Schizosaccharomyces pombe: one gene and its partners. The gene in region 3 interacts genetically with the main gene of each other region. Each region holds a gene or a part of one and is shown on either strand. Other genes may lie near its edges. The genes, in order: mib1, cbs2, rtt106 and utr4.

What was found.
Region 1: mutations in rtt106 (region 3) and mib1 together harm fitness more than expected from each alone (negative genetic interaction), as found in Schizosaccharomyces pombe (one large-scale study listed by BioGRID).
Region 2: mutations in rtt106 (region 3) and cbs2 together harm fitness more than expected from each alone (negative genetic interaction), as found in Schizosaccharomyces pombe (one large-scale study listed by BioGRID).
Region 4: mutations in rtt106 (region 3) and utr4 together harm fitness more than expected from each alone (negative genetic interaction), as found in Schizosaccharomyces pombe (one large-scale study listed by BioGRID).

What each region holds. Positions count from the first base shown.
Region 1 is NC_003421.2:834,373-842,763, forward strand, and holds mib1 (DNAJC11 family protein), read left to right. Parts: upstream 1-3,112; 5' UTR 3,113-3,232; coding exon 3,233-3,286; intron 3,287-3,347; coding exon 3,348-4,561; exon of another isoform or gene 4,562-4,611; coding exon 4,612-5,032; exon of another isoform or gene 5,033-5,089; coding exon 5,090-5,219; exon of another isoform or gene 5,220-5,222; intron 5,223-5,265; coding exon 5,266-5,285; 3' UTR 5,286-5,589; downstream 5,590-8,391. Other genes in the region: aah3 (GPI-anchored glycosyl hydrolase family 13 protein), read right to left, coding at 1-1,288; spore wall alpha-1,4-glucan synthase, meiotic Mok14, read left to right, coding at 5,590-8,391.
Region 2 is NC_003424.3:3,805,335-3,812,794, forward strand, and holds cbs2 (protein kinase activator), read right to left. Parts: upstream 3,369-7,460; 5' UTR 3,337-3,368; coding exon 3,301-3,336; intron 3,238-3,300; coding exon 3,114-3,237; exon of another isoform or gene 3,060-3,113; coding exon 2,701-3,059; intron 2,654-2,700; coding exon 2,497-2,653; intron 2,442-2,496; coding exon 2,113-2,441; 3' UTR 1,798-2,112; downstream 1-1,797. Other genes in the region: phosphomannomutase Pmm1, read left to right, coding at 510-596, 829-1,515; tma19 (translationally-controlled tumor protein), read right to left, coding at 4,194-4,700; SPOM_SPAC1F12.04C (uncharacterized protein), read right to left, coding at 5,732-6,307.
Region 3 is NC_003424.3:3,244,498-3,251,801, reverse strand, and holds rtt106 (histone H3.3 H4 heterotetramer chaperone Rtt106), read left to right. Parts: upstream 1-4,083; 5' UTR 4,084-4,094; coding exon 4,095-4,176; intron 4,177-4,221; coding exon 4,222-4,845; exon of another isoform or gene 4,846-4,889; coding exon 4,890-5,314; 3' UTR 5,315-5,617; downstream 5,618-7,304. Other genes in the region: ArfGEF Spo7, read right to left, coding at 1-3,204; RNA-binding protein Nop9, read left to right, coding at 6,577-7,304. UniProt on the Schizosaccharomyces pombe protein: Has a role in meiosis.
Region 4 is NC_003424.3:2,683,742-2,690,772, forward strand, and holds utr4 (methionine salvage haloacid dehalogenase-like hydrolase), read left to right. Parts: upstream 1-4,368; 5' UTR 4,369-4,453; coding exon 4,454-4,522; exon of another isoform or gene 4,523-4,575; coding exon 4,576-5,157; 3' UTR 5,158-5,429; downstream 5,430-7,031. Other genes in the region: bcs1 (iron-sulfur protein assembly ATPase), read left to right, coding at 2,665-4,014; SPOM_SPAC644.09 (pyridoxal phosphate homeostasis protein), read left to right, coding at 5,962-6,030, 6,412-6,531, 6,667-7,002. UniProt on the Schizosaccharomyces pombe protein: Bifunctional enzyme that catalyzes the enolization of 2,3-diketo-5-methylthiopentyl-1-phosphate (DK-MTP-1-P) into the intermediate 2-hydroxy-3-keto-5-methylthiopentenyl-1-phosphate (HK-MTPenyl-1-P), which is then dephosphorylated to form the acireductone 1,2-dihydroxy-3-keto-5-methylthiopentene (DHK-MTPene).

The DNA of each region.
Region 1 (8,391 bases), on a different chromosome or scaffold from region 3:
ACATGACGAGAACATCATTTTTTTGTCCAACATAGTGATCAACAGCAGATTCGATCGATTGATATGTGGAAGTGACCCAATCCGGATCCTGAGTAATGACAAACTTTCTAAATGCAACCATCGTTTTAATAACGGTATAGTACGGGTTTGATTGATCGTAATCAGTAAGCCAAAGTGCAGGACGATTAGCAGGATCCTCACCACCATTGAATCCCTGTTCTTGTCCGTAGAAAATTGAGGGTATGCCGTCCCAAATCAACACAAATGACAAAGCCCCCATAATCTGTGACTGGTCACTTGTGTAATAAGGAAATCTGTACAAATCGTGATTTTCGATAAAAGTCAACATTAAAGTACTATCATATTTTGAACAGTTTGAAGCCATTACCTCCTGGTAAGTGGGAATAAGAGTGAATCCAGCACCAGTAGCAGTAAAAGAGAAGTTTATGTACAACTGCAAAAAGTAATTGGTAACTCCAGGAAGGACACTCATGTAACTACACATAGTATCAGGATCATAAGAGAAAACTTCACCAACGCTGTAAACACCCGTAGCATCAACGAAATCAGGAAAGAATGTGTAGTTCATCATTTTCACAGCATCAATACGCAGTCCATCAAAATCGTATTTAGAAATAAGACTTTTGAAATGATCACTCAAATAGGAAGAAACGTCTGAACTTTCGACATCCAAATCGGCCAACAATACACCAGAATCTTGCCAACAATCCATTACGTTCGTCTCATTATCTGTGATATCCCAATCAATAAGACAGTACGGATGGAAGTAGCTCTCCTTGTTAAAAGGATTAAGAGATGAATAGTCAGCATCTGCTAGCGGAGGAGCAAGTGCCATAGAATTGACGATACTATCCAACATTACCCAGATACCCGCTTTATGAGCAGCAGTAATAAGGCTAACTAAATCATCTTCTGTACCAAAGTGTTCATTGAGGGACTCATAATCAGTGTTCCAATAGCCGTGATAAGCATAACCAGCACCGTCGATATCTCCTTCAATATTTTTATCAATGGGAGATATCCAAATCGCATTGAAACCCATATCCTCGATGTAATCCAGTTTGTTCTCGATACCCTTCCAGGTACCACCACAATACTGGTTTGCATCCGGATCACATGGATTATCCGTGCTTCCATCATCAACCGCGAAACGATCCGTCAAAATTTGATAAATAATACGTTTGCGCCACTCAGCATTACTACCAGCATTAGCAACATGAATGAGGGCGCTTGAAAGAAATAGGAGAACAAAATAAACACCAAACATGCTAAAAAAAGGTATCAAGGGGTATTTAAGCCAAGACGACTAAAAGAAAGAAGTTTGGGAGAGCACAAAAAAAATTATGTTTTGTAAAAGTTAATGATATGAGCCAAATCCCACCAAAAAGAATGACAATAAAATACTAATAATAAAGGAGTGGAAATTGTGGGTCAAGAAATTATCAATGCAGTACCAGTATTGAATAAACAAAAATCTATGAAGAAAGAAAGCGGAAGTGCAAGAGCCGACTTTACGTCGAATGAAGGGACCACGTTAAAATTTTTCAAATGTACGTCCGAATTGACGCTAGTCTCCTTAGAAACCTTCGTTTTCTTGCAAAAGATTGTAAAACCTGTTTAGCGGTGTAGTTTGTTGAAGGATGGATACGCTGGTAGCAACAAAATACTAGGCGTAGGTAAACAATCTAATATATCAGCGTTCGAATCCGGCTGCCATCACATTTTATTTAACCCGTTTAGCAAATAGATGAGGTGCTTAATCAACAATAACGACGACAACCTCTGAGCTTCACGAATATGCTAAATTTATAGCGCTTCACTAAATCGTATACCGGTTCGCGCTAAATAAAAACTGATGCTTAAATTCAAATTTCTGTGTTAGTAAAAGAGCAGATAAAGCGAGGATAAAAATGTAGGATGTTGATTAAGACTCTAAATAGAGTAGCGCAGAGAATAATACTAAATACTGAAAGACCGATCCCGTTAAACTAATATCAAATCCATAGCATCAAACAGAGGTTTGTATTATGTATCCTATGAACTATCCTCATCAATAATTGCTTATTATAATATAACATAAACATATACAACTTTCGTGTAACTAGCCAAGGACTACTATAAGTAATATGGTTTATTCATACAATGCTAGTTCCTATACCTATAGAAATTCGTTTCCTGCTGAGCTTATTTTAAGCTATGGGTAAGCGAGTCAAAAACCAAAGACGCTATTTGTAAAATGGCAAACGAAATTAGGTATTCTTGTTTTAATTATAAGCTTAAGAGACATTTGACATCTCGTTGGTAGTAATAGAAACTTGTTTTTTAACTTGTTCCATTCGCTTTAATGATAGCTGCACTGCCCTTGGTACTTTATTCTTGAAACTTTTTAGATTTTTTATATATCACAAAGCTTTTTCTAGTTCACCATTCTCAATTTTAGTGCTTCCTTAATCTAATAGTTGGTTTTGTACGCTGAATTGGTTTCGCATTTAAAAGTGCATTAGTACGTTTTTGAGAATCAAGTATAAGACATTTCAAGTAAATTGAAAAATTCCTGTCAGTAATACTTTATATCTAAGTCAAATGGTGTCATCTGATAATAAAATCCCTCAACAGTATTATTTATCAAACGAAAAATGTCATTAGTCATGAAAAGCTTCATTCGCTTATTTGTTTTGAAATTAAGAATGAAAGTTATGACTACATATCAATTCATTAAGCTGATATCTTTAGTATGCAATCCATTATTTTATACCATCTCCACTTTTTGTAAATCATTAAACATAATATCTAAAGCCAATTTAGCATTATTCAAATTCGAGACTTATTATTTTAAGTTTGTCTTAGAATTTCATAGTTTGCAAACTGTGTAAAATGAAATACGCATGGGTTTGGCAATTATACAAAAAGCTGCTCCCGAGCACAATTAGTTTAACTAGTAAACTCATGCTTTTCGAAATGGCATCAAAGCCAAGATAATTTGATCATATAAAGTTTTATTATTTAAAAGTTCCTATATTAAAATACTGCTATAGCTCACTCTAATCCTACAACCTACATCAAACTTTACATTACCTTGGTCACTTATAGTGAGCACATACCTTGATCATACATATGTCTGCACGATCCATACTCTAATCTGTGGTTTCTGAAAATTTACACGTAAATTAAGATAATTTGAAGTAATTTATTTTAAAATAAAAGATTAGTCATGGATGAAGCGGATTCTTGGGAGCTTTATTTGGCTCTTGGACTTCCCAAAGATGTAAGTATAAATAATCTCATTTGGGAATGCATATTTTATTAACATTTCCTTTAAACTCTAGGCTACAAGTGACCAAATAAAAGAATCATATTACAGACTATCAAGACTGTTTCATCCTGATCGTCACACTGCTGACCAGAAGGCAGCAGCTGAGGAAAAGTTTCAAATTATACAACATGCTTACGAAGTATTATCTGATCCATCAAAAAAAGAGATTTATGACAATTTTGGAGAACAAGGATTGAAAACAGATTGGAATGTTGGATTTCCAGGGAAATCAGCTGAAGAGCTTAAAAACAAAATAAGGGAGCAAATTCAGGAAAGAGATATCCATGAAATCGATTCTTTGGTGCAGAGTCGTTCTGAGACTACGATAGTGGTCAATATGACCCCCTTGTTTGCCAGAAATATTCGAGTTCAGAATGCTCTTGGTTTAGGTGCTGGTACTAGAATGCTGACCCCTTATGAACGATTTTCCTTAATCCAGTGGGTATCTTTTCAAATTAAAAGCTCTTTCTCTATTCCAACATCGTTTTCCAATGACCTCAAAAAGCCGTCTTTCAATTCTTTTTCCTCAGGCTCTTTTGATGATGAATTTTCCGCGCCTTCAGATGAAGATGAAGGCAACCATAAAACATCCTCTCGTTTATCTATAGTCACTGAAGCATCAATGAGACAAAACTCAAAGCTTCAACCTTCCATTTTTGCCGTTTATCATTCTCAGCCCTCTCCTAACCTTAGTTCTGAAATTGGATTTTCTCTTTTGAGGCCAGGTTTAATTACCGTCAAGTCAGTGTACGCTATCAATAACCAAACTTTTATTGTCCCTCTTATTCAAATATCGGGTCTAAAGCGTCCCCCGCAAGCCACCGTAGTCATCGGACGACAAATCACTCGCTTTGGTACTCTTACAGCACGCTGGAAAACTGGTGTGTGGTCACTTGGTTCTTGGGGAATTGCTTCCCCTCGTGGAGCGAATTCCTCATTTTCACTTACTTGGCAGCAAATGAAAGCTATTCCAAATAGTTTGGTCCCTCAACTCAGTTGGAACGCTGAAGTTACTGCTGGTTTAATGTATAGCGGTATTGCTTACAACTATAATTTAAAAAATGCAACTGAGGACTCACCATATCAAATCAAACTCGGGACTTCGATGAGTACAGTAGGAGGTCTTCAGGTTTCCGGTGATACGAGTCGTAAAGTTGGCCGTTATTCAACCTTTGGAGTAAATATTTCAGTTGGTGTCCCAACTGGCTCTATTACGTTTAGTCTTAAGTATGTTCATTTCTCGATTTCTTCTCAACTACAAATACTAATTTTTTTAGTTGGTCACGCCTTGGTCAAAAGATTTCTCTTCCTATTATGTGGTGTAGTGTGTTTGATCGTTCTGCAGTCTTTTGGGGTCTCGTATTTCCGATTACTTCTATACTTGGAGTTGAGCAATTTTTCCTCCGTCCCAGGCGACTTTCCAATCAGAAAAGACTGCGCTTATTACGATTACAAAAACTTAAGGATTCTCAAGAACGCAAGAAAGTTTCTGCAATTCGAGCTGTTAAATTGATGAAGGAAATTGTAGAGAAAAAACAGAAATTGGAAATGGAGAAAGGCGGTCTGGTTATTGAGTATGCCGAGTACCGAGTCGTTAATTGCGGTGCAAACGAACCTGATTTAAAGCAAGATGTGACTATATCAATTGCTGCTTTAGTTGAAAACTCTCGTTTAGCTATCCCTTCTAGTGTTTCAAAGGTAAAACTATGTCGCTTAACATTTCATTTTTGTTTTGATTGCTAACTGTTGATTTAGTCGTCAATTATCGGAATATATCCATTATTTTCTGACAATGAAAAAGAATTGGAAATTGTTTATACTTTTCATCAGCAGCGGCATCGTGTTGTTCTCCGTGACAAGCAAGGTGTTTTTTTGCCTAGTCGAGGTATGCTCTCATATAATCATATTAAACATGTATTAACATCCACAAGAACACAAAATTTTGTCTTAAATGATACGTCTTTATTAAACAATCATTGTTTACATTTTCGCTAAATTAGCTCCTATCACATTTTTTTGTTTGTTTATGTTTTGGCATTTTTGAGTATAAATATTACAACGATTGATCACCGTCTTCCCAGAGCATAACCCTTTCCTTTACTAACACAAGTAAATTTATATTTCTTTTGCTTTGGCAAAAAAGATAATAGCTTGCTTCAAGGGTGACTTACTGTCGAACTTGTTCTCATCTAGCCGGGTTGCTATTTGTGTCTTAGGCACATTTCCTCTTTTGGAAATTTTGATAGAAAATCAGGATGAATATAAAGAAAAAGAGCTTTCTCTTTCAATTTTTGTTCGGATGGATTGTACTGTCTTCGGCTCAATGGCTATCGGTTTTGGATGAGGCAGAGAATTTGAACTCTTCTTTTTCATTAGAAAGTGTTGATTCTTTTGCTCCAGTAAGACCAAGGTTTATAATCGATGAAGACTTTGCTGAAGATTACAACCTTACTGTTGATATCTTGCATCGTCCACTTCAGGAAAATTTCGATTCTTTCTTTCCAAACGTTGAAGCGTATGTTGAAAGTGGAAATTCTAATGGTGATTTGATGAGCGACAATGGTAAACTAGATGATTTAAATTCTCGAGCGGCCTATTCTGCCCTTAAAGCCCTTCAAAACTCTTATGGATCATCCCATCTTTATCGCTTTACACCCTATGAATTGTTTGGGCAATCTATTTGGATTGAAGAAGCACCTGAAGTGAATCATGTCGGTTGGTCTATTATGTTCGATAACCTTGGCCGTTACTTTTTACTAGAGTTGCGCGGTCTACGCGAGGTTACTTTTGCTTTGTTTATTACTTTTTCAATCGTTCCTATTATTACAGGAATCCTTACTGTTTACATTTACAAGAAGAAATACTGTGTCATAAAATTCAATAAGTCCGGTCGTTCTAAGAAGAAGGATAGCTGGTTGAAAAGGTCTAAGGATGAATTACTTCGTACGGATAGCGCAAATCTTCTGACTTTGAATGATAATGATGAGCCTGTAATGATTAGACATTCATGTAAAAGGACGTGCATTCTTTTCGCAACACTCGAATATAACATTCCGGAATGGAATATAAAAATTAAAATTGGAGGTTTAGGAGTGATGGCTGAATTAATGAGTAAGACATTAAAGCAGTATGATTTGGTTTGGGTCGTTCCTTGTGTGGGAGATATCACATATCCAGTGGCTGAAACTGCTCCATCTTTGGTAGTTAAAGTGGTTAACCAAGACTATGAAGTGAAAGTTTTCTATCATTATAAAGACAACATCAAATATGTTCTTCTCGACTCTCCCATATTCAGAAAGCGGACATCACACGATCCTTATCCTCCTCGTATGGATGATATATCTTCAGCCATTTTTTACAGTGTTTGGAATCAGTCCATTGCTGCTATAATACGTCGTGAAAAGGTTGATATCTATCATATTAATGATTATCATGGTGCACTTGCTCCAATTTATAATCTTCCAGAGGTCATCCCTTGTGCAATTTCACTCCATAATGCCGAATTCCAAGGTTTGTGGCCTTTACAGTCCAGTATTGATGAAAGAGAGGTTTGTGGTTTATTCAATGTTTCCAAAACCATTTGCAGAGAATACATTCAATTCGGTAATGCTTTCAACCTGATGCATTGCGGTGTTTCTTATGTTCGTCGTCATCAGTCCGGTTACGGAGTAGTTGGTGTTTCTAACAAATATGGCCAACGCTCATGGGTTCGATATCCAGTTTTTTGGAGTCTCAAAAAAATTGGACAATTGCCTAACCCTGATCCTACCGACATCGGTTTGAGTGTTAATCCTGTGAATCAACAACTTCCTGACTTTGCAGAATATGCTTCGGTAAGGAAGGAAAACAAGAGAAAGGCACAAGAATGGGCCGGTTTGACAATCGATGATGAAGCGGATCTTCTGGTATTTGTAGGTAGATGGTCAGTGCAAAAAGGTATTGATATTTTAGCTGATCTCGCGCCAACCCTCTTAGAAAAGTTCAACATTCAATTAATTGTTGTTGGGCCTCTAATTGATTTATATGGTAAATTTGCGGCAGAAAAGTTCATGTACATAATGGAACGTTATCCAGGGCGCGTTTTCTCAAAACCCGAGTTCGTTCATCTACCACCCTTCATTTTTGAAGGAGCTGACTTTGCCCTAATTCCTTCTCGTGATGAACCTTTTGGTTTAGTCGCGGTAGAATTTGGCAGGAGAGGTGCTATTTGTATCGGCTCAAGAGTCGGAGGTTTAGGAGAAATGCCAGGATGGTGGTATTCTGTTGAATCTAGCTCAACCGCCTATTTACTGAAACAACTTGAGAAGTCTTGTACTCTGGCTCTAAAATCAACTCCTGAAATGCGCCATAAACTGAGAATCGCCGCCCTTCAGCAACGCTTTCCTGTAGATGAGTGGGTGGCATTGTATGACAGACTTATACGAAACTGTATTAAGGCTCATAACAAACAGCAGCAAAGAAGAAGCATAAAATCATTTTTCAGTTGCATTACACCGAACAAGCCTACTAAAGATGTTAACGATATTTTATCCGAAAAAAGTGCATTTTCTCCTGCAGATTATGAGCACTCTATAGATATTAGAGAACATACATCATATGATGCCAATTCAATGGATAATGATTCTGATGAAGATAATTATGAACAAGCAGAATCAATTATTTCATCACTAAGTAGTTCAGCACTTTCCGAATTATCTTACATATCTGAGAGTTCCATGAATATAGGTTCTAGGCTTGATGAACGCTTTATCGATGCAAATGGCGTTGCAATAAGGGATTTTTCTGCTGAGTTAACTTATTTGACTCCTGAAAACTCAAAAGGAAAATTATCTATCGATCATTTCTTGAACAAAGTCCAATCACGTTGGCATGACGAAGAACATCACTATTACAAGACAGGATTTAGGAAGCGTGTTTACAAATATTTAAAGATCAAAGACAAAAAGTCTAAAGATGTGGACCCTGATGATGACTTGGTAAACCAACTTCCTTTAAATGCTTACACGAAACCCCGATATAAGAGTGCGGCTAGTACTCGACTAAACATTTATCAAAGA
Region 2 (7,460 bases), 560 kb from region 3:
GTAAGCCATTTTCACGGAGTACGAGGAATTGTAGAGTTGCAGAATGCCGTTTCAATGTTTAAAAGTTTAAAACAAAATATTGATTTCATACCATTTTCATCCATCTTATAAAAATACTTTTTTTAAACACCGCGGGTTCACACGCGTCTATTTTCATTATACGTTACGCGCTACACGAAATAGAAAAAAATGAAGTTTTGATAAAAATATCTTCAAAAACACATTTTTTGAAATATTTTTCTGTGCGAATACGACTTTCTATGTAAAATCCCGATTGATTAATTCAAATTCCTACGACACAAGGGTACCTGAAATCAACATTTATGATATTGTAGAGCTAATATAATATACCTTCCTATGAATGTTTTTGCTATAAAATTTTGTTGTAAGAGTGTCTAATGCTTTGAAGGTAGAAGGGGGCTTATTGTTTACCTTGATCGAGGGGGCTTCATCGACGCGTTACCACCATACCACTACCAGTTGCACTTACCTTCGACCAAATTCTCAAAATGGCAGTTATCCCTATTGAAGAGCGTAAATTTCCTAAGACCCTAGTTTTATTTGACGTTGATGGAACGCTCACTCCTGCACGTTTGGTAAGTTTAGATTATTGCAGTCGAGCTTTCTTGGATTCAATCTGAATAGCCGGCTTGTATCAAATTTCCTATTTTCCAATCACATTCTCTATGGTCATCACCATTATTTAATCAGAGATGGCTTGAAAGGAAGTTTTAATTATCCAAAATATTTCGGGAGCAAGCTATTCATGCTCTATGACCTAGTTTATTTCTCTTTCCATTTTGTAATAACAAGACTAACATTTTAAAGAGTGTCTCCCCTGAAATGCTCGAAACTTTGCAAAATCTTCGCAAGGTTGTCGCTATCGGCTTCGTAGGCGGTAGTGATTTGAGCAAGCAACAAGAGCAACTGAGTGTCAACGGTGAAAACGTAATTGATTCTTTTGATTATGCGTTTGCTGAAAACGGATTAACTGCTTATCGTTATGGACAGCAATTAGCTAGTCAGTCATTCATCGCCTGGTTGGGAGAAGAAAAATACCAAAAACTGGTTAATTTCTGCTTACATTACATTGCTGATCTGGATATTCCCGTGAAGCGTGGTACTTTCATTGAATTCCGCAACGGTATGATCAACATATCTCCTGTAGGACGCAATGCCAATACTGAGGAACGCAATGAATTTGAACGTTTTGATAAGGGTCGTAAAATTCGCGCTACCATGGTCGATGTTCTTCGCGAAAAATTCAAGGATTATGGATTGACATTTTCCATTGGAGGTCAAATCTCTTTTGATGTGTTCCCTGCTGGTTGGGATAAGACATATTGCTTGCAACACGTAGAGAAAGAGGGATTTGATACAATTCACTTTTTTGGAGACAAGACATACAAAGGCGGCAATGATTATGAAATTTTTGTCGACCCTCGTACTATCGGACATTCTGTTACTAATCCTGACGATACCATTGCTGAACTCAAGAAAATTTTTAACATATAGATGAGTTTGTAGTGTGTTGATTAGATATGCGTCCCTCTCTTATCATTACGGAAAAGGTTAGCTTTCTTAGTTGTAAATAACTACTTCATATGCTCGGCGAGTGTGAAGTTTCTTGCACACAATTGATCTGTCATTTAACTCGTACATCTTCCATAATTATTGGTAGCATGGAATGCGAAGAACATTAAATTATTGTAATCTACTGCCAACGCAGCTTTTAATACTCATACCTGAACAATATGCATATATGAAAGAATATTTACAAGAAAATTACACTTACGATCGGTTAATTGATGCATTCCTAGAAAAATGCGAACTTAGTAGCTAATGAAAGGCATGTGTTAGTTATTTAATTAGATAGGCATTAGCATAATGGTACAAGTCACATCATATTATATAGACAGAAGTTGTAATAACCGAATTAATACTTTTTGAAATAAAAGAAGCCTCATTCGAGTACACTGAATTAGATACCACCTCGAGCTGCCATGCAAAAAAAAAGAAACAACTCAACGGTTTAACTTCAAATATCATGAGACTTGGCAATGTTTTCAACAGATTATGAATGCATTCAGGCTGAAGCGCACGAGAATCAAATTATACGGCAGATTCAAAATTATCAGTTTGTTCGGGAACGCCGGGCGTAGTCGTTTTATCGTATATTATGTAATTTAAAATATCAGCCAAAGATAAAATACCTTCGAGCTTCAAGTTTTCATCAACCACGAAAAGACGATGAACCCTGGAATGCTTAATAGCATCAAAAATACCATCCAAACGATCAGTAGCTCGACAAGTGTGGACGCCATCAAAGTTAGCTGGTCTTTTCAATAAAGCCTCGCCTACGCTCAAGTCTAAATTACTATAATCACCATCTTGTATAAGATGCATTACATCCACCGATTCATAGACATTTAGCAGGGTACCTGCTCAGTTAATATATAAATTATTCACAGAAAAAATTCAAAACATCTCACAAACCTTCAGAATTAACGATTGGGACGGCAGATATATTCTTTTCGGCAAGCATTTTAATAACATCATAGACTTTCGTTTCCATAGACGCGGTAGCTAAATTTGACCATGTCCCAATTGTCATTTGGTTTAATGGTACCCGTAGCATTGCGGTTTCTTTGCACTAAATTTGAAATTAGTAAATATAAAAACATAACACGATTTACGAACATTCATGGAGATAAATTTCAAAATTCGATATTGTGTCAAAACAGATACAATCATTTCGCTGCCTGTCTCGCCATCTACGTCAATTAAAGGAATTCTTCTAGCACGGCTCTTTGACATGGCTAAGCAAGCATCCATAAGACTATGCATTGGATGAACATATATAGTTTCCGGAGGAATGGCGCCAATCTTTCTTTCCACTTCACGAAGTCCCAACAATCGAAATTTGTCAATCTCAGCTATAGCCTCGGGAAATGAAGAGCTTTGGTAATAATACTTAATAACATTGACGAAATCCGCCATCGTTAAAAGGCCCGCAAACTTATTCGCTTCACTGTCCCATAAAGGAGCACTGACGATATCTAAGACGTGATTAATAAGTTGATTTCACATCTGTAATGAAAAATCTTTCGTACTGTTTAATGTAAGAAGAGAAAGTGATGTTTTTACAAAAAGCGTAACATCGAACACGATTAAACGGAAGGACGTAGGCAAAACATCGTAACTTGTACGCGAGCGTATAAATGCTTGAATTTCTTTCTGTACATCACATAGATTAATAATTATTTCTATTTAATAAAAAATCTATTCCATATCACTTACGAGTGCTCCTTTTTGGGTCTCTTGAACGTCTGTCATGACCTCGTCAAAGGATATATGGTGTGGTTGGTAAAAGAGACTAGATAAATGAGCGAGGGGAATGGTAACCCGCACAAGGGCAACAAATCGAGGTGTTAAGTAATTAGTTGCAAATAGTACAATGCCTAAATTATGCGTATTTGTTAGTGCTTTTAAATGATATATTTCACTTAGGGGAATATTGTAGCTAAACTCGTTGATTTAAACTGCTTATATAGTTTACTATTTAAACGTAACAATATACATTGACAAAATTAAATGCAACTAGTCTATTAACTCAATGATAAGATTGATTAAAAGGCTTAACAATTAAGCATAAATTTAATCCAATAGTCGTCCGCTACAAAAATAACATCGTCGAGCAAAAATTTCCCAAATCTTTAGTACTAACAGTAAACTATAGTTTCGACTGTAACAAAGTTTCAATGGCTACCGGGTCGTCTAGTGTCGCCATAACAAAAGTTTGGCTATTCCTCGTAAAGGACTTGAATTATCAACTTCGATAAAAAGCAAAAAAATACACTAAATTAATGGTAAAATACCAAATTTCAAACCATATCCTTACTTACTAAATTATTTCGGCCTGTTAATATATAAATAGATTCATGAATTTTAGCACACACGTTTTAAAACATCGATACCTCAATCTTCCATTCAACCAAATACAAAATCGATAAAAAAACACTAATTTCAATTTGAACATGATTATAAGCTAGCATAATTAATTATTATCAGAACAAAAACCCCTGTTCTAATCCTAATGAAATTTTGTGAAAACTAATTCACAAAACTATAAAATTTAGACATGATATCATGTTCCCAGTTAGAAACTCCCTTATAAGAACCCAAATTTGCATTTAGAACTTCTCAGAAACAAGACCGTCCTTGAAGAAGATCATGTAGGGAGTAATACCATCCTCACGGTAGTTCATTAAGACAACCATTGCGTCGGGATCCATGCTCTCACCAATGTAAAAGTCGTAGTCCTTGAAGTTAGCCAAAATCTTCTTGACGAATCCAATGGCATTCTTCTCGAAAACAGGAACACGCTCGGGGTTGCTTTCTTGAAGACGAGCCTTGATAGCCTTCATGTAACCCTTGATGTAAGACATATAGGACTTCTTGTCAAAAGAAGTAGGGCTTAAACGGAAAGAGTAAACAAGATTGTTTACAGTCTCAGTACCCTCTTCAGCATTCTCCTCAGCATCCTCGGCAGAAGGGTTGGCACCAATGTCAACATCACCACCTTGCTTGACAGTGACCATTTGGCAATCAGCCTCGTAGACAATATCGTCTACCTCCTTCAAGTCGTAGGCGTCAGAAACGAGTTCGTCTCCAGAAATAACGTCCTTGTACAACAACATGGTGATTGCAGATGGTAGCTCATAATTTGACTTCTCGCAGGTTTAATGAGATAAAGCAGTCACAGTTTAGGGCAGGGTTACTGGATTCTAGCCATCCGTATGGAATGCGGTTACGAACAGTATTCACTTTACGTAGTACAGCGTTGTTTTCGATAGATACATTTTGTTTACCAATTCCTTCATTTTTTTCAATTTGTCGTAGTCTGTTCTCCTTTCTTTTAAATAACAATATTCTTTATATTTTCAGATTTTTTTTTAGATGAAAATATCGTTGTACTCAGTCAGTAGTAAATTGTTTTATATTACTGAATCTGATTTTTTGAGTGAAACCATTATGATGCGTGTAAAATTAAGATTAAAGCTGGAATTAAAGTCCAAATGAATTCAACAATTGAACCATATTTAACAGTATGTGTATTAATCTCTATGTTCTTTAATCAACTTGTAACCATTTATGTCGCCTCAAATTTATTATTCGAGCTATTATCCGTCAATTCTTGAGTCGTAATTAGAACATTCTCAACAGTACTGAGCTTCAGAAGAAACCTAAAAAAGTAGTGCATTATAGTTGATAATAATTCCTTAACGTTTATATATGATATACTTAAAAGTATGATATCGTACATCCTCAATTTGAAATTGCAGGGCCATTAAAAACACTCGTTAATAAAGATATTCAGTTCAATTAGAAAAAAATGACAAGGTACATTTTGGTGACAAACAAAGAGTAACTTAATGTTTTCCGTTGATTAAATTTTCGATCAATATCCCAAAATTTAAAACGCTTTAATGGAATGGATTAACGATTAAAATCGACTTCATTTCTAAAACCTTTCAAGCTTTAAACCGATTCAGTCCCTTCATTTAGAATGGCATATTTCGATTTTTGCTGAAAAAACCAAGACGACTGTTACCACTTTTGTTTACTACTTTACTCACATAGACATTCGAGAAAACGAAAAATAGTTGAGCACGAATAGAATTACATGAAAAAAGTAACTTCTATTTAAATTTAAAAAGCTCATTCGTAACTAAGCTCTTTTATTGTGCAAAGAGAGGATTAGTTTTCTAGTTTGTACAATTGCGCTGAAAAGACCAAGAACTCCAATTTGGTGTTTGTGTAAACCAGCTCCATTTTCTACAGACCAGTGAATACACAAAGGAAGGCTAGCCAAGTTTGAAGCTAAGTCTAACTGATGCTCCTTTTCGTCTTCTGTTTTTTCACGCAAAAGCTGGTAAATGGTCAATAAAGTATCGAGAAGCCAAAATCTAGAAGACCAAAGCCATAATTTGTCTTCCAACGGTTTTGATATGGAAATAATCTGTTTGCCGCCTAAGAATGCCAATCCTTCTGTGACATAGTATCCAATATTGATTGCGTTACTCATGTAAGTTTCAGGAGAAGAATCTTTACGAAAATTTACGATTAATTTGTAGAGACCAGGAAGACGTAAAATACATCGAAATTCATTTAGCATAGAAACCAGTTGAGCAGTTGATTTCGAAGATGCTGGATCCAACCTCGCAACGTTGACAAGAATGGCAGCAATTTTGTCAATTCCGCTGGGATTTTGCAGCATCAGGTTTAAAGAATGCATATAAGACATATTTCTCAAAAAATTTCAGCTCTAAGATTTGGTCAATTATATTGTTCACGAAAGGTAGTCTAATTTTCGTATACTTTAGTAGAAAAGCGTAAAATCCAAAAAAATACTAAGTAGCGTATGTAAACGACTAAAATTACCAAATCCAAAGATTATTTGAATGACGATAGATGTCGGTTCGGCAACGTCTTATGGTATAGAGAGTGAGTGTGCTGCTATAGTCGATCGGATCAGCAAACGTTAGCTAGTCTGTTTAGTACACCAATAGATTTGATAAGAAAAATCTACAGTGCAGCAAAGTGAAATGTTATTTTATGAGTTGATCGATTTTACTTTTAGAATTACAAATGATAAGATATGATAACTTTCTCCAGTTATCACGTCGATTAGATCGCCGGAAATAACTCCGATATTGAGGAAAGTGTATTCAGTTGCAACAAACAGCTGTGACGGCTTCAAAGTATCGGCAAATCATTTTTTGCATGTGTTTTAAAAAAATAGTTCAGCAATAAAAAACATAAATTTGTTAGGCTTCTAGAGGCATATGCTTATTTATGTGTTATTTTTTTAATATTTATCATAACGTATTTTTTATTACAAATCCTTAGGTAGCAATATCTTAAGAATTAAACATACATATGTTCAAGGATAAAAGAAAGAAAAACTTGGAAACTGGGTTTATTTTTTCTATTCCTTTGTTCAGATACATATAAAACAGCTTAGTTACTATGGATTATTATCATATAGAATTATGATAACTGTTTAAAATAAATATTATTTGGAATAACGAGATTTGTTTAGGTCGGCTTGAGATACGCACAGCTACGTAAGATTGTAGATAACAAACTTTGAAAACCTTCGCATTCAGTGGCCTGGGGAGCATGCAGACTACACTTCCTATTCTTCCTTTGCAAAAACCTTCTCTTCTTACTACATTAGTATATTTTTCATAGGGAGGTGCTATATGCACTGTATTCATAGTTACGCTCTGCTTACAGTGAGCAAAGTATTTCTTTGGACGCTAAAAAAAGGCTCCTGTATATTGATTTGAGTAAATATTTTGGCATAGAAAAACACATTCAACGCTACTTAATTGTTTTTTCCATTTCGAACTACTATTGAGAGGAAGTTGTTTTTTCAATTGTTTTATATCATT
Region 3 (7,304 bases):
CCAATAACCTGCTACCCATCTATTGTTTTTGCTTAAAACCATTTTCTTATATGAAATCATGCCTCGTCGGTGCCATGGTAACCTGTTATGAGTCTTTTCTTCTTGCATATGATGAGTGTAATTAAACACCGAAAAATGTGGTCTACCATCTATAACTGATGGTTCAGGAAGATCAATCTCCTTTCCTGCGTAAATTCCTCCATTCTCTTCATTCAAAACAAACGAAGATTCCTTAAAAGCATCACTTTCAAGACTCGTGCTGTTTTTGTTTCCAGAACTCTCCTGCTTTAGTAATTTTGAACTTTTCATTAATTCAGATATCAGAGATGATCGATTCCTTTTGGGAGTCAAATCACCTCTTACTTGGTTGTGCAACTGTGCTTGCACGGCATTTGGTACTGCAAATGGAGACTTCAGAAACGTATCATAATATTCTTTTAGCATGCATTCAAGTATGAAACCGATATCGCTTGGTAAATTGCTCCACGTTGAGAAAAGCAATTTGGCAAACGTTGATCGGTTCTTCTTATATTTGAGCCAATGCTTTTTGTCCTCCTTCGACAAAATACAAACTGAATCTGGAGATATGAGAGGACGAAGTTTCTCGAGAGCATATTTCACAAAAGTTTCCATCGGAACGACATAAGAATTGAGCTTTTTAGAATAGGTTGATTTATGTAAATCAATTAAAATCAATACTATTTTAACAATAATGTCTTCATTTAAAAACCCATAATTACTATTTTGCTTAAGCCAACAAGATGCGAAGACTTGCAAAATAGGAGAGTGTATGTAATCATCCGAGCCATAGTAAAGATCACAGCATAATTTTTGAAAGGAAGCGTAAACATTTAAACTTGAAAAGTCATAGTGTGATATGAATTTTACATACACATTTTCATATTCAGATCCCAAACTAGCAAACCAATCTGTAAAATTGTACGACAATAGCTGCTTCTCTAGCAAATTCCGTAAGCAATTGGATAAATTAATGGGGTCCTTAAACTCTGAATTGTGACATACCTCGAACAATTTCAGTTGAGAACGGTCGTGTAAATTCAAAATAGTTAAAAGTGATCGTGGAACTTTAATTCTTGGATTGTTTTTAAATTCCAAAGAATTGGGAGTTGCTATTTCTTCGGAATTGAGATCACTCTTGCTATCACTTATAAGCAAAAACTCTTCTTTAAACTTTGAAGCGCTCAGACCTTCGTTAGCAAACGTTTCATCTTCATAATCTTGTAGGAACGTTTCCTGAATATCCATAGTTTTGACATCTGGATTCACAAAAACTTTTTCGCCAACCTGCTGACTATTTATGCGTGAATTGCGTAAATTGCGCATCTTGCGAATTTCTTCAGCTGCGTTTTCATGGTGAACTGACTGAGACTTAATCTGACTTTGCAATTGTTGAATATAGCTACGTTCATCATGACTAAGATGCTCTCGGTCATCCAATAGTAATTTTGAAATTGAAACTAGACCTTCGGGGGTTTTGGGTGAAGAAAACCGATTTTCACGCAACATTATTTCGTTTGTAATACCAACCTCCGAAAGCACTGAATAATACGCAACCAACGATTGTTTTAAGCAAGAAATCTGCTTTAGTGGTATTCTTTGGAATCTTGAATAAACTAACGCAAATTGGTGTTCCGCGATGTCTAAAGGGTATTTCCTGAGCAAAAGTTTTGCTAATTTGCAAAAATATAGGCGGTCAGAAAGATTTTCAAGTAAATACATTTTGGGATCAGCATTAGCAAGCTCATTTTTAGTGTTAAGTTTCGATACCTGTATACGACTATTGATTTTGTGTTCAGTAGCGTTCAAAGTTCTTGGATGAGGGTTCAACTCTAAATTTTTTTCCATTTTTATGCTCGGGTGTACATTACCATTTCCAGCTAGACACGCTCTCTCAATTTTTGAAATAACTTTCTCTGATGGATTAACTACCTTAGATATGCTGGAATGGGATGTCGGTTCAACATTGTTTATCGATTGTGGCATGTAAATATTTCCTAGTTGTTTGGCTAGTTGTTTAACATGACCCTTGGGAGGAGCCTCAGATGTCGGTGCCTTTGTTGTAGGAGCCTTTGTTGTAGGAGACTCTGCTGCAGCCAATGCTTGTGGTTGTACTGAATTAGAATCTTGGTTCATTAGTAGCGCAGTCTTTTCCCTTATCACTTGCAAAAACTTCTGAGAAGTTGTCAGAACTGAATCACCGACTGACACTTTTGGTGGTACTTCCATTGAACCATTTTTAGCAGCAAATAGGTTTATAGCTTCCTTTATTCTGTTACATTTTCTGGTGGAAGCCCGATAATTAGGACCTAAATTAAAGGGATTCTCTTCTAAAGCATTTGTAGTATGCCCTTTAGATAAATTTGAAACATAGTCCCTTTTTCTATTTCTCTCCCTAGCTAGCTCGATCCTTGCTCTAACATTTTCCCCGGAATACTTCCCCTGAATCCTCCTCTTAGCAGATAAACTAATTTTTTTTGAAGGAAATATTTCCTGAGGAAAATTGGTAACGACTATCGGAGGCGGCGTTCTTTGGCGCTTTTTAGAAGATGGAAGTTCTTCTTCATAATCTTTCAAATCACGTTTTAATGAGTAAGAACCAGAGGAAGCTCGTACGCCGTTGCCGAACATGGATTGAGAAGGATGAGAGTTTACGGGTTCACTAAATATTCGTTTAGGCTGAAGGCTTAAATCAGAAAGTTCACCATTTGTTCGAGGACGCCGGGTTTTAATAAACGATTCTTTGTTGCTTAACTTGCTTTTAACGTTAAACATATGATTGTTTTCAGCCAAGATTTTCTCAGACTCCACAGAATTGGCATTGGAATTGAGAAAAGAGCGACGATGACTTATAAATTCCTGAATCTGCTTCAAGCGTGTCCTTCTCTGAGAAGATTTGTCTTCTCCAGAAATATTTTCCGTTTTGCTTTTAGCGCCTTCCGTATGCAAATTTTCTTGACAAATTATTCCCTTTGATTCCTCAAGTTTGCAAAAATCGGTTGTAACTTTAGACCGCTTCAACTTCGAAAGCAACGCTGAATGCTTTTGGCCGGAAGTATAGGTAGGCTTTGATTCTCTCACAGGACGACAAGTGATGCGACTATCATTGCACGATTCCAACTTTGCAATTTTTTCCGAAACACTTAAGCTTGTTGGGGAAGATCCTTCTGTTATTCTAAAATCCATTCTACCTTTTTCGTGGATAATTATACAATTGATTAAAAGAAATTAATAGTTATGTCGGAAGAACGCTTAAAAAATACAATATGAATATAGGAATTCTTTCAATCGGTTGATCGCGAAAGCAATTAGGATAATTATGTAAGTTTTGTAAGGACAATTATCAAAATTGTTTCCTTAAATATTTATACAAACCGTCAGTTTTGAGGGAGGTTGAGGGTAAAGGAAAAATAGGCAAAACAAATAGCTTATGTCTTAAAACACCTCATTGCATTAGACCTAGCGAACAAACTATTTGTTTACGTTTGTAAATGTCAACACACGTTGATTACATCGGGAACAACATAAACCAATAAAACGAATTTTAGGATCATTTAATAATTTCTTTGACAAAATCGAAACAATAACAACTTTAAGGGAAACCATATCCGATTATAGGAGCAACAATCTGACCTTCCCAATGCTGAAGAAAGCTAATCAGTTCTACAGCTGAAATTTATCTATAGATCGCAAAAAGAATCAAAGGGAAAATCGATATCGTTTCACAAAATGTTCCCAACTTTTTTGGACTTTTCATACGAAAGTAACTGATACGATAATAGAATGAGTTTTTATCTCATTTATGTAAAATGACTACCTTTGTTGAGTAAAATTGAGCAATTATAAATTAAGCATATTCATATTGATCCATAAAATAAAAATTTGTTGCTAACATAAAGTCAACAGCGAACCGAAGTTTGAACGTAACCACTTGGGATAAAATTTTTATTGGATCGAAATCATTTGCATGATAATGGAAATAGTTGCTATTACATTTGTTACTGTTAGCTGAGGTGTGGTGTGCTGTCGAAGCCCTTGTTTAAGACTCAATAAATTCTAGCCGGCAGCCATCTCTAATGGAGTCCAACGTGAACGATGAAATAGAAAAGGCATTTGCCAAAGATTCTGAGTTAGCAAAAGATATAATCAAACAATATGGTAAGGTTTGAGTACATGCTTTTTTCCTTAGTCTAATGAAATTAGGGAAAACAAAAAGTATACAGCCTCTAGTGCATCGAATTTGCAAGTACATCAATACATTGCAAAAGGAAAACGAATCAGGCCAAGTGAAGGAGGCTGGAAGTTTAAAACGAAAGGATCGTGTTCAACATGAGTTAGGTCAATTGGTCTATGGAGTACTTAATCTATCGTTTCAGGCACCTATGCGAAAAAAGCTAGACGTCTACATTTATGAAAATGGAATAGCAGTAACATTACCAGGCGAACCCAATTTAATTGAATTTTGGCTTCCCTGGAATGAAATTCGTTGTGCAATCCATGTCCCATGTCCAAGGAAAGCTAATGTTCAAAACAACTTTGTGATCATCCTTAAAAGTGAATCGTCGGCAGAAAATATTGTTTCAAGTGATAATGTAAAAGAACCTGTCTTTTTTACGGCACCGTATCCTTTGAAAAAGCTCAACCTCGTTGAAGGTTTACGATCCTTCACCCACTGCACGAACTCATGGGATATTTTTCGCGATTACTTTGAGTTTATTGGCACTAGTACTTTGTCTCCTTCTGTCGAAGAATTTGTTTGTCCAAACCCGCAAACGGGGGACAATGGCACGACATATGGGGTTGAAGCAAACTATAAAGCTAAAGATGGTATGCAAAGGATGAATTCTGTGTCAAAATTGCTAATCAAATAGGGCATTTATTTTTTCTGCGTACTGGCATACTATGGGGCTTCCGTAAACCTATACTTTTCATTGAACTAGCTAGCATCCAGCATTTTTCCTATAGTAATGTTTTGCAACGAACATTTACAGTTAATTTTGAAGCTGGTGGTACAATATATTCATTCGATATGGTTGATCAAAGTGTCTTTAGAGCAGTAAATGATTACGCGACAAAGCATGGACTAATGGACTCCAGTCTTGCTGAAGAAAAAGCTGCACCAGTCCCTAAAAATCCATCTGTTTCATATTTGAATGAGGCATCATCTCTTGAAAATGTTGATGATATGGATGATATTGATGTTAAAGAACCTTTATTCTCTGATAACGACGAGGATGTCGAAAACAGCGACAGCGAGGACGGTAGCGAATCTATCGGTTCAGAGGACGAAGAATAGAAAGTTGAATGTACATAAATTTTTTTCTGTTTTATTTATTACCAGTTTGTTTTAATTTAAGGATTTAAATAAATTTAAAGTCTTCTAGCAAAAGGTTATCTGTGAGCTATCCAAATTTGTTTTAGACTCAAGTTATACACAAAGTTGTCGCAGGATACATTTTTTGTTGATAGTTTAAAAAGTGTGGATCTGGACTTTGTGTGCTAATCAATAGATTTACGCTCCCACTTGTTTGAGTTTTCTCAAAAATTACCCGACCAACATGTAAATATTTTCTATAATACTAATTTATGAAAATTCCTAATTACCTTATTCGATCTGCCGCTCTTAAAAAAGGTATATAATGTAAATAGCGGTTATTTAAAGTTCCTGATGTTCATTTTAACAGAAGGGTAGCTGAGTTTAAGCAAGAATTACCTGAACTGCCCATAATTTAATTCACAATTAGCATAAATCTTTAAAAACTCTTTCACGAGATTTTTTAATTATTTTTTTCAAAAAAAAAGACGACTATAAGTAACTAATTGTTTAATTTTTTACATTAGTTTTTTTCTTTGTCAATAAATTACTAAAATCTTTTTCTGAATGTAAGAAATTAAATAATTTAACAATATATCAACTCATCGACTGTTATTGAAGGATCTTCTTCTTAAAAAGAAAGAAAATTAATTTAAGACAATAGAAATGTTTTTGATTGATATTAATGATTAGCTCTTCTAAAATGCTGTTGCAATTTATCTAATCATTATTTATTTACATTTTAGTTAAAAAGCTATGTTCATAACGTACGGTAAAAAAAATAGGTGACACTTACGCAGTTCAGTGTCTTTTTTAACGATACGTAAAACCCGGTGATAATTCTTGTGACCTATTATATTATAATAAGTAGGTTAATAAGCGCTGACCAATGTAGGTATTATATATATGGGTCAAACTGTTACCTGTCACTAAATAGTGCTTATTACTGTACCTCGTTTCTCAGTTAAGTTGTAACTCTATTTATAATCTTACTGATAATTTTTCTAGAAAAATATCCTAGTAAATAAGAGGATAATGTCCGCAATGATCAATACGCGGATCTAACTGGTATTCTAATATATGACATATAGTGATGAATACCCTAATGTAATATAGCGTAGTGTAGTATTGCTTGCACAATAAAACTTTATACCCCCATGCGTTATTAAAATTAAAGAGGCATAACAGAAATTATTTCCAACAAATTTTCGAATCCTATAATGCTAATTCAATCCTAGAGCAAAATGCCAAAAAAAAGAAAAACGCGTGGTAAAAAGCACTCTGCCAAACAAAAGGAGGAAGAAGTTAATTCAGTTGTTTCTCCCGGTATTGCAAAAAACGATGAAGGCGCTGGAAATGATGAAGGTGCATATCAGGTAAACCGTTACACGAATGAACCAGTGCAACCGTTTTTTGGTGCTTTGGACCCCGAAGAAGAAAAATACTTCCAACAAGCTGAACAGGCTTTTGCCAATCATTTTACAAGAGAAAACGAAGATACCAGGTTTTTTGTCGACAGCATTTATCGTGAGGTGCAAGGCAAAGAGCTAATTGTCTGCAACAATGTGTTCGGATCGAAGGTTCTTGAAAAGCTTTTCCCTTTATCAACGAGTAGACAAATCAAATCGTTTTTTTCTGCATTGAATGGTCATTATGTGGAGCTAATTCAGACAACGTTTGGCTCTTATGCTTTCGAAAAGCTGTTGAGTCACATGGCTGCCATTCTAAATTTGGAAACCCAAGGTGTTACAGAGGATCAAGATGATGTTTTGGAAGGTGAAAATGAAAATGTCTTCATGACAGCAGAAACTTTACTTATGTACATGTACAATGAAATACGCCCAGAGGTTTCTATGCTAATGAGCCATAAGTTGGCTGTTCATGTATTGGGCAAAATTTTCCTTTTGCTTGATGGATATCGATTCGTGTATCATGATGGAAACAGAACCACTATGGAGTCTATTTCTGTTCC
Region 4 (7,031 bases), 560 kb from region 3:
AACTATCGGTAATCCAAGTTTGATTATCGAGCAAAGATGTGGTTGGTGCTTGGACAGATGGATCTACTTGATTGCTTGATATTTTTCGGTGTCAGTTCGTTACGCTAAAATGACTAAGAAAAATGAACACAGCCTCGATAAACAAATATCATCAGTGCGATCCAACAGCGGTATTTGTCTGAGTTTCTGGTTTACATTCCGAGCCACATGAAAGATAGGCGTTACAGGGCTCGGGAATGCAGCCGAAGCCGTTCAAAGTTGTCAATAAAGAACGTTTGGTAGAAGTGTCCAACAGCAACGAAGTGTTGATGACTTGTTGCCAATGATGAATTTCTTCACTATTGAGTTGGACTTTGGAATGTGAGTGGTCGTACCAACAACTACGGGTATATGGCCTTATTGCAGTGTAAGATTATCTCATTGTCATACAAAGTGGGCAACTTCATACGCAAGGCGTGGGTTTCATGAACACACAAAACGAATCGAGATGATCATCGTTGGATACTCGCTTGATGCAGCTGCTAACGGAGATGCACAAAGCAATCGAACTTTACCATGACATATCCGAAACATGCTAAGATCTTGTTGATGCATTCGTTGACGTTTTTTCAAGATGTTTCGTAATTTCTATACCCCCGGGTGGAGTGGAGCTGCACTTACGAAAGGATAAGTTGAAGGCTGATTTTTCACATCCCTTCTTTGCAAAAGTTTCCAAAGATGAAAAGTGGAGATGCTATTACGCTAGCACAATATTCATCATCATCTGATCTGTTGTATAAAACTTTTTCATTTCATAACTTATGAAGTCAATAATAGTTTTTGAAAATGGGATTTCCTAATTTAGTCAATTTTGTGTTCCACGTTGCACGATGGTTAAAAACGGTAATTTACACTACTGCAACATAAGAAGGACTTGTAAGATATAGACATTAAAAAATAACCTCCCAAGGCGAGACTCGAACTCGCAACCTTCTGATGACCATCATAAGAGTCAGACGCTCTAAACCGATTGAGCCACTCGGGACTTGCTTGTATTGTGTTAAATTATGTACAATTATATAATAAAGTCTTTAAACAATGAAAGGCATTGAAGGTGTTCAGCTTGAATGAATTCTTTTTAGTATGTTCATTGATCTCGAAAGAAAAAAGAAATGAAATGAAAAACTCAAGGTTTGTAAGTATAACTTTTTTGGTTTTGAAAACGCTTGAATATGATGTTGAACATTGATAGCAGGGTAACCAGTATATGTAAATATAAATGCATCTTGAAAAACCTGTATAAGAAGTGCAAGTGGGTTAAAATACATTGATTTGAGTATATAAAGAATTTCTTAATGTTTTGGCAAATTCGAAGACTTTTCCTTTCTTAGCTTTTAACAATGACTATTTCTTTCCTCCCAAGTTCTTTGTTGATGTTTCTTTGTTCGCCAAGAGAATTTTCTTTGTCAAAATCTTTGATCTTTTAAAGAAAGTGTGCATATACATAATCACCAACTCAGTTCAAAATACAATTTGAATTTCATACTAAAGTATGCCCAATGATTTTAAAAGTCATTAGTTTTTTTCCAAAGTACGATCTCTTACGAATACCTGTAAGAAAATTAATATTATACATCAGCCTCGATTTAATTATGTTTTGGATGCAGCTTTAGTTTTTAATTATATTCATCAAGTGCAAAATTGCAAATCACTAACATACTTGCAAGCGTTTTTTCTGCCATGAAGAATCGGGATGTATATGTTCTACATCAATTACTTATCTTAGTGTGAAATGCAAATTTATATGCAGTTATTTTGTTCTGAATATTTATTATATGCTACCATCATCAATGTGATCAAGTCATTAAAAAATTTATTTACAGGCTCTAACATTTGTATCATTTCTAAAGTCCAGATCAAGCGACCTCGGAAGAAATTTTTTCTTAATTACTCAATTGCTGTCACTGGATAGGTTTGATATGATACTTTACTTTTGATCTTAGATTTCCAGACTCGCAACAATTTCTAAAAAATTGGGTAGTAAACACACACATGTAGGCTGGAAATATTAAACACTAGCAAGATGCATCCTTCCAACATTTTACATAAAATATTTCAATGTCAAAAGTTAAATATTTTGCAAAGTTACTCTCTCTATTTCAAGCAGAACCTTTCAAGCTGGTATTAAAAGTTTAAAACAAACATTAACAATGTGAAAAACAGTTTCATGTAATTAGCTTTATACTATTCTTTAGTTCTAACATATCTATTTCGCTCCTATCGGAAGTCATAGACTTTTGGAATTTCTTAGCAAAGCACTAAATTGTTGGCTACATGAACCTCACCCAGAACCTCGTTCATACCAAAAACTCCTCCATTTTTTCTCAACATTCCAATAAAATTGGATTATATAATTTCTTCATTGAACATTTTATTTCTTTTTTGTTTGAAACCTATCAATTACTGGTCATTTTGACATATGCGTTTTGACATTTGATTTACTACAATATTTTGTTATACATGTCCTCCGTAAAGAATTGATTATATTCATAAAGGTTTAATTGTTTCTATGAATTATTTATACCAAAAATTTCCTTTATATGCAAGAAACCGCTATCGTTACGTTGAAGAATTAAATTAATATTAACTTTCCTCCCTTCTTCTCATCGTCTTTCCACTTTAAAAATGGATAATATAGGTGCTGCCGATGCAGCGACGTCTTCTGGCATTTCTGGGTTACTAAGTGGAAATTCATTTTTAGGTGCTGGTATTGGTTTAATGGGTTTCGGTGCTGGGCTAGCCATATTACGTCGTGGGCTTATTTCAGGAGCAAGCTTAGTAAAAAGAAGGATGCTAGTGTCTGTCGAAATTCCAAGCAAAGAAAAAAGTTATAATGCCTTTTTGCATTGGATGAGCACGGTGCCTAAACGCTATTCAAATCAGCTGGCTGTTGAAAGCAACAGACAACTCAAAATGCCGCAAAATGCTAGGGAAAAACCTGACAAGCAAGTTGCAAATCGTATATTCAGCCTCGTTCCAGGTCCTGGAAAGCATTACATAAAGTACAAAAAGTGTTGGATTCAAGTAGAACGAGAGCGTAGCAATCGTCTGCAAGATTTAACAACTGGAACACCTTGGGAGACAATTACTCTTACCACTCTTTCAAGAGATCGTGGAATTTTTTCCGAACTTTTATTAGAAGCTCAAAAATTCATGCAAAGTGCTCAAAAAAACAAGACTACTATATACACGGCTTGGGCCACTGAATGGAAGCCTTTCGGGCACCCTAGATCAAAAAGGATGCTTTCTAGTGTTGTACTTGAAAGCAATGTTAAAAAAATGATTACAGACGACGTTCATGACTTTTTACGAAATTCACAATGGTATGATACAAGAGGAATTCCATATAGAAGAGGCTATCTTCTTTATGGACCTCCTGGAAGTGGAAAAACCTCATTTTTATATGCTCTTGCAGGTGAATTGGACTACGACATATGCGTTCTAAACTTGGCTGAAAAAGGCTTAACTGACGATCGTCTCAACCATCTACTTTCTAATGTACCTCCCAAGGCAGTAGTTTTACTGGAGGATGTTGATTCTGCATTTCAAGGTAGGGAACGATCTGGGGAAGTTGGGTTTCATGCCAATGTTACATTTAGTGGGTTGTTAAATGCACTCGACGGTGTCACTTCATCAGACGAAAGGATTATATTTATGACAACTAATCATCCTGAAAAGCTTGATCCAGCTCTCGTTCGTCCGGGCCGCGTTGACGTTAAAGCATATCTTGGAAATGCTACACCTGAACAAGTTCGCGAAATGTTTACTCGCTTTTACGGTCACTCCCCAGAGATGGCTGACGATTTAAGTGATATAGTGTGTCCAAAAAATACAAGTATGGCTTCATTGCAGGGTCTTTTTGTAATGAATAAGAGCTCACCTGCTGATGCTGTTGATATGGCTAAAGAGCTTCCTGATAATCCTCCTAGTACACCTTTCTCCTTTAACGTACACAGAAAGTCTTTGTCTGTATGAAATCCCTTAGATTTATTTAACTTAAAATGTTATTCGTTTCGTAATAAGCTCTACTTATCAATCTTGACCACAAAAAAAAGACATCTTGGTAGAAACATATATTGTACGCGATTAATCTATGAATAATTAATGAATTTAAAAAATGGTTAAAAAATAACTAGTCCGTATTTTCTATTCTAAAAGACAGGCATGCATAAGATAATTATTCAAATGCATGTTCTCAATAAAAAGCTGCAAGCTGTTGAAATTCTTTTTCCATATGTTTAAGAAAGTAAAATCCAATAAAATTCCAATTGTAATCTTAAATTATTTTACGTGATGCATAGCTGAATTCGCAAAGTACTAATCCTACTTACTGCACATCTTACTTCTTTAAAGTTGCATAAAACTTGTGTCCTAAAAGAAAAGTGAGTTGTACGGCATCTCTTTATTACAAAAAATGGTTAAAAATTTGCTCTTGGATATTGAAGGGACTGTGGGTAGCATTTCATTTGTCAAAGACAAATTGGTAAGTGAAGTTTTTTATTGAGAACAATGTAGATCGTGTTTAACCCATGCTAGTTTCCATACGCTGCTTCAAGATACGAAAGTTATGTTAATGAAAATTATGAAAGTGATGAAAACTTGCGAGAACTTGGAAAAACGCCTGAAGAGGCCTTGATAAATTTACGAAAGTTGCATGCTGAAGGAAGCAAAGAACGTTCCTTCAAAATGGTCCAAGGTCGTATTTGGAAAAAAGGTTATGAAAGTAATGAACTAACTTCACACTTGTTCCCCGATGTTGTTCCTGCTATTCAACGTAGTTTGCAATTGGGAATGCGTGTTTACATTTACTCCAGTGGGAGTGTTCCAGCTCAGAAATTGTATTTCGAGCATTCAGATGCTGGAAACCTTCTAAAGTATTTCTCTGGATATTACGATACTACTATAGGGCTTAAAACTGAGTGTGGCAGTTATGTGAAAATTGTGGGAAACTCAAATCCTAGAGAATGGCTCTTCTTGAGTGACAATATCAACGAGTTGAAAGCTGCAAGAAAAGTCGGGTTGCACACCGGTTTGGTGGTTCGTCCTGGCAATGATCCTGTTGTAGACACCAGTGGATTCCCCGTGTACAATAGTTTTGAAATTTTGTTCACGGAATAAAGCAATGGTGAACCCTAACGACCGTTTCGCTTAGAACAAAGTAATGAGTTTCTTTAAAGGACATGAGTTCTTTAAAAGAATTTTGATTCTCTTGTGCTCTCATTTTCTATTTCTTTGTGTTTTTTTTTTCATGATTTCTTTGAATACATCCGAAAATTAGTCAACGCAATTTCTTCTCTTAAAATATATTGAATTATTATAATTTTTTTAACCCAATGGATTTTTGAATTGTTTCAGAAACCTTTTTTAACTATGAAACTTTTTTACCATGATTGAATATTTGTATCAATTATCTAAACATTGAGTAAAACACTCTTGTAAACTCTCCATTCGTTCAATCAACTATTTGAACTGAATTTTTTTTTTTTTTTTGATAAAATAGAAAAAGAGCGTTCTTGTTTAATATTTTCCTCTCCTGTGTACTCATTGTAAAGAAGAGAGGTTTGTCAATCAACATGGGTTACAATTCGTCGGTTTTGTAGCCAAATTAACATTAATCCTTTATTAGTGATTTCTTTTTAAATGTTTCTTAGCCATTAATGTTTATTTATTTACTTGTTTCTGTGACATATAATATCATTACCCCCATTTGGTACCTCTTCCTCCCACTTTGATCAGCAATTACTCTCTGTAAGCTTCTCCAGGTTAATAAAGTCAAGAAGAGACTATAGCTATACCCCCATATAGTACTCTTTATCCCACATTTTGTATCACTCAAAATCAATTTCAACTAAGAGACCTAAGCAGAGTAATTTAACTGTCAGGTGGATTTGACTAAGAAAGTAGTAATAGCTTTCATTCAACATGAGTACTATCCATAGCTGTTTAGATTTAATTAGAAGTCAAATCCAGCAATCTGCAAATGGCCGCAATGTAAGTTTGTATGAGTGATTTTGGTTGTTTTTTCGGGTACTTGGTAAAATTGAATTTCGGATGTCTGATCTCCAGGCGAATAAAGTCATACTGCTCAGCTAATAAGCTTCGTGAAAGATTTATTTAACTCGACGATATAATACTTTATTTTTAGGCTTATAATATTTAAGGAAATGATGCTTCGCCGAGAATAAAATGTTGCAAAGATATCTTCGATTAAAATGGGTTTATCTGAAATAGCGTTGTTTATGTCAGCTGAGGTGAAGGAAAAGATCTAAAAAAATGAATATTTTCACTTTTACATTTTTGGGATTCCCTAAAAATCTTCCAATTTCGCCTGCTGCTTTATCCATCACTAACAATTGCCTTAATGGCTTTTAGGTTCTTCTTGTAGCTGTTAGCAAGTTTCATCCTGTTGAAACCTTGATGGAAGCGTACAATGCTGGTCAAAGGCACTTTGGCGAGAATTACATGCAAGAATTTCTAAAGAAAGTAGAGTTGGTAAGTGCTAGAATGTATTATGTGTTTTCGGTAATCTATTTTTTGATGCCTACCATCTTTAAAAACACTTTTTTAAGTTAGATAATAAGTGGTTCTCATTGTTTATTTCCATTCACAAGGCTAACAGTGCCATAGATGCCCGACGACGTCCAATGGCATTTTATCGGTAGTTTACAGTCATCTAAGTGCAAGAAAATTGCATCTGTAAAAAACTTGTACAGTATTGAAACCATTGATACTGAAAAGAAGGCTCGTTTGGTAAACAGCGCTCGTGAGGCATTACAACTACCCTTAAATGTCTATATTCAAGTAAATACCAGTGGTGAGGAGAACAAGGGAGGAGTTACTCCGTCTAAAGTTCTTGAACTCTGTAAGCAAGTTCAAGACATGAAATATTTGCGACTCAAAGGCCTCATGACTATTGGCTCTATTTCCAATTCTCAATTATCTGATCACAACCCAGATTTCCAGGTAAGATTATTTCCTTTTTCTTCCTTTTT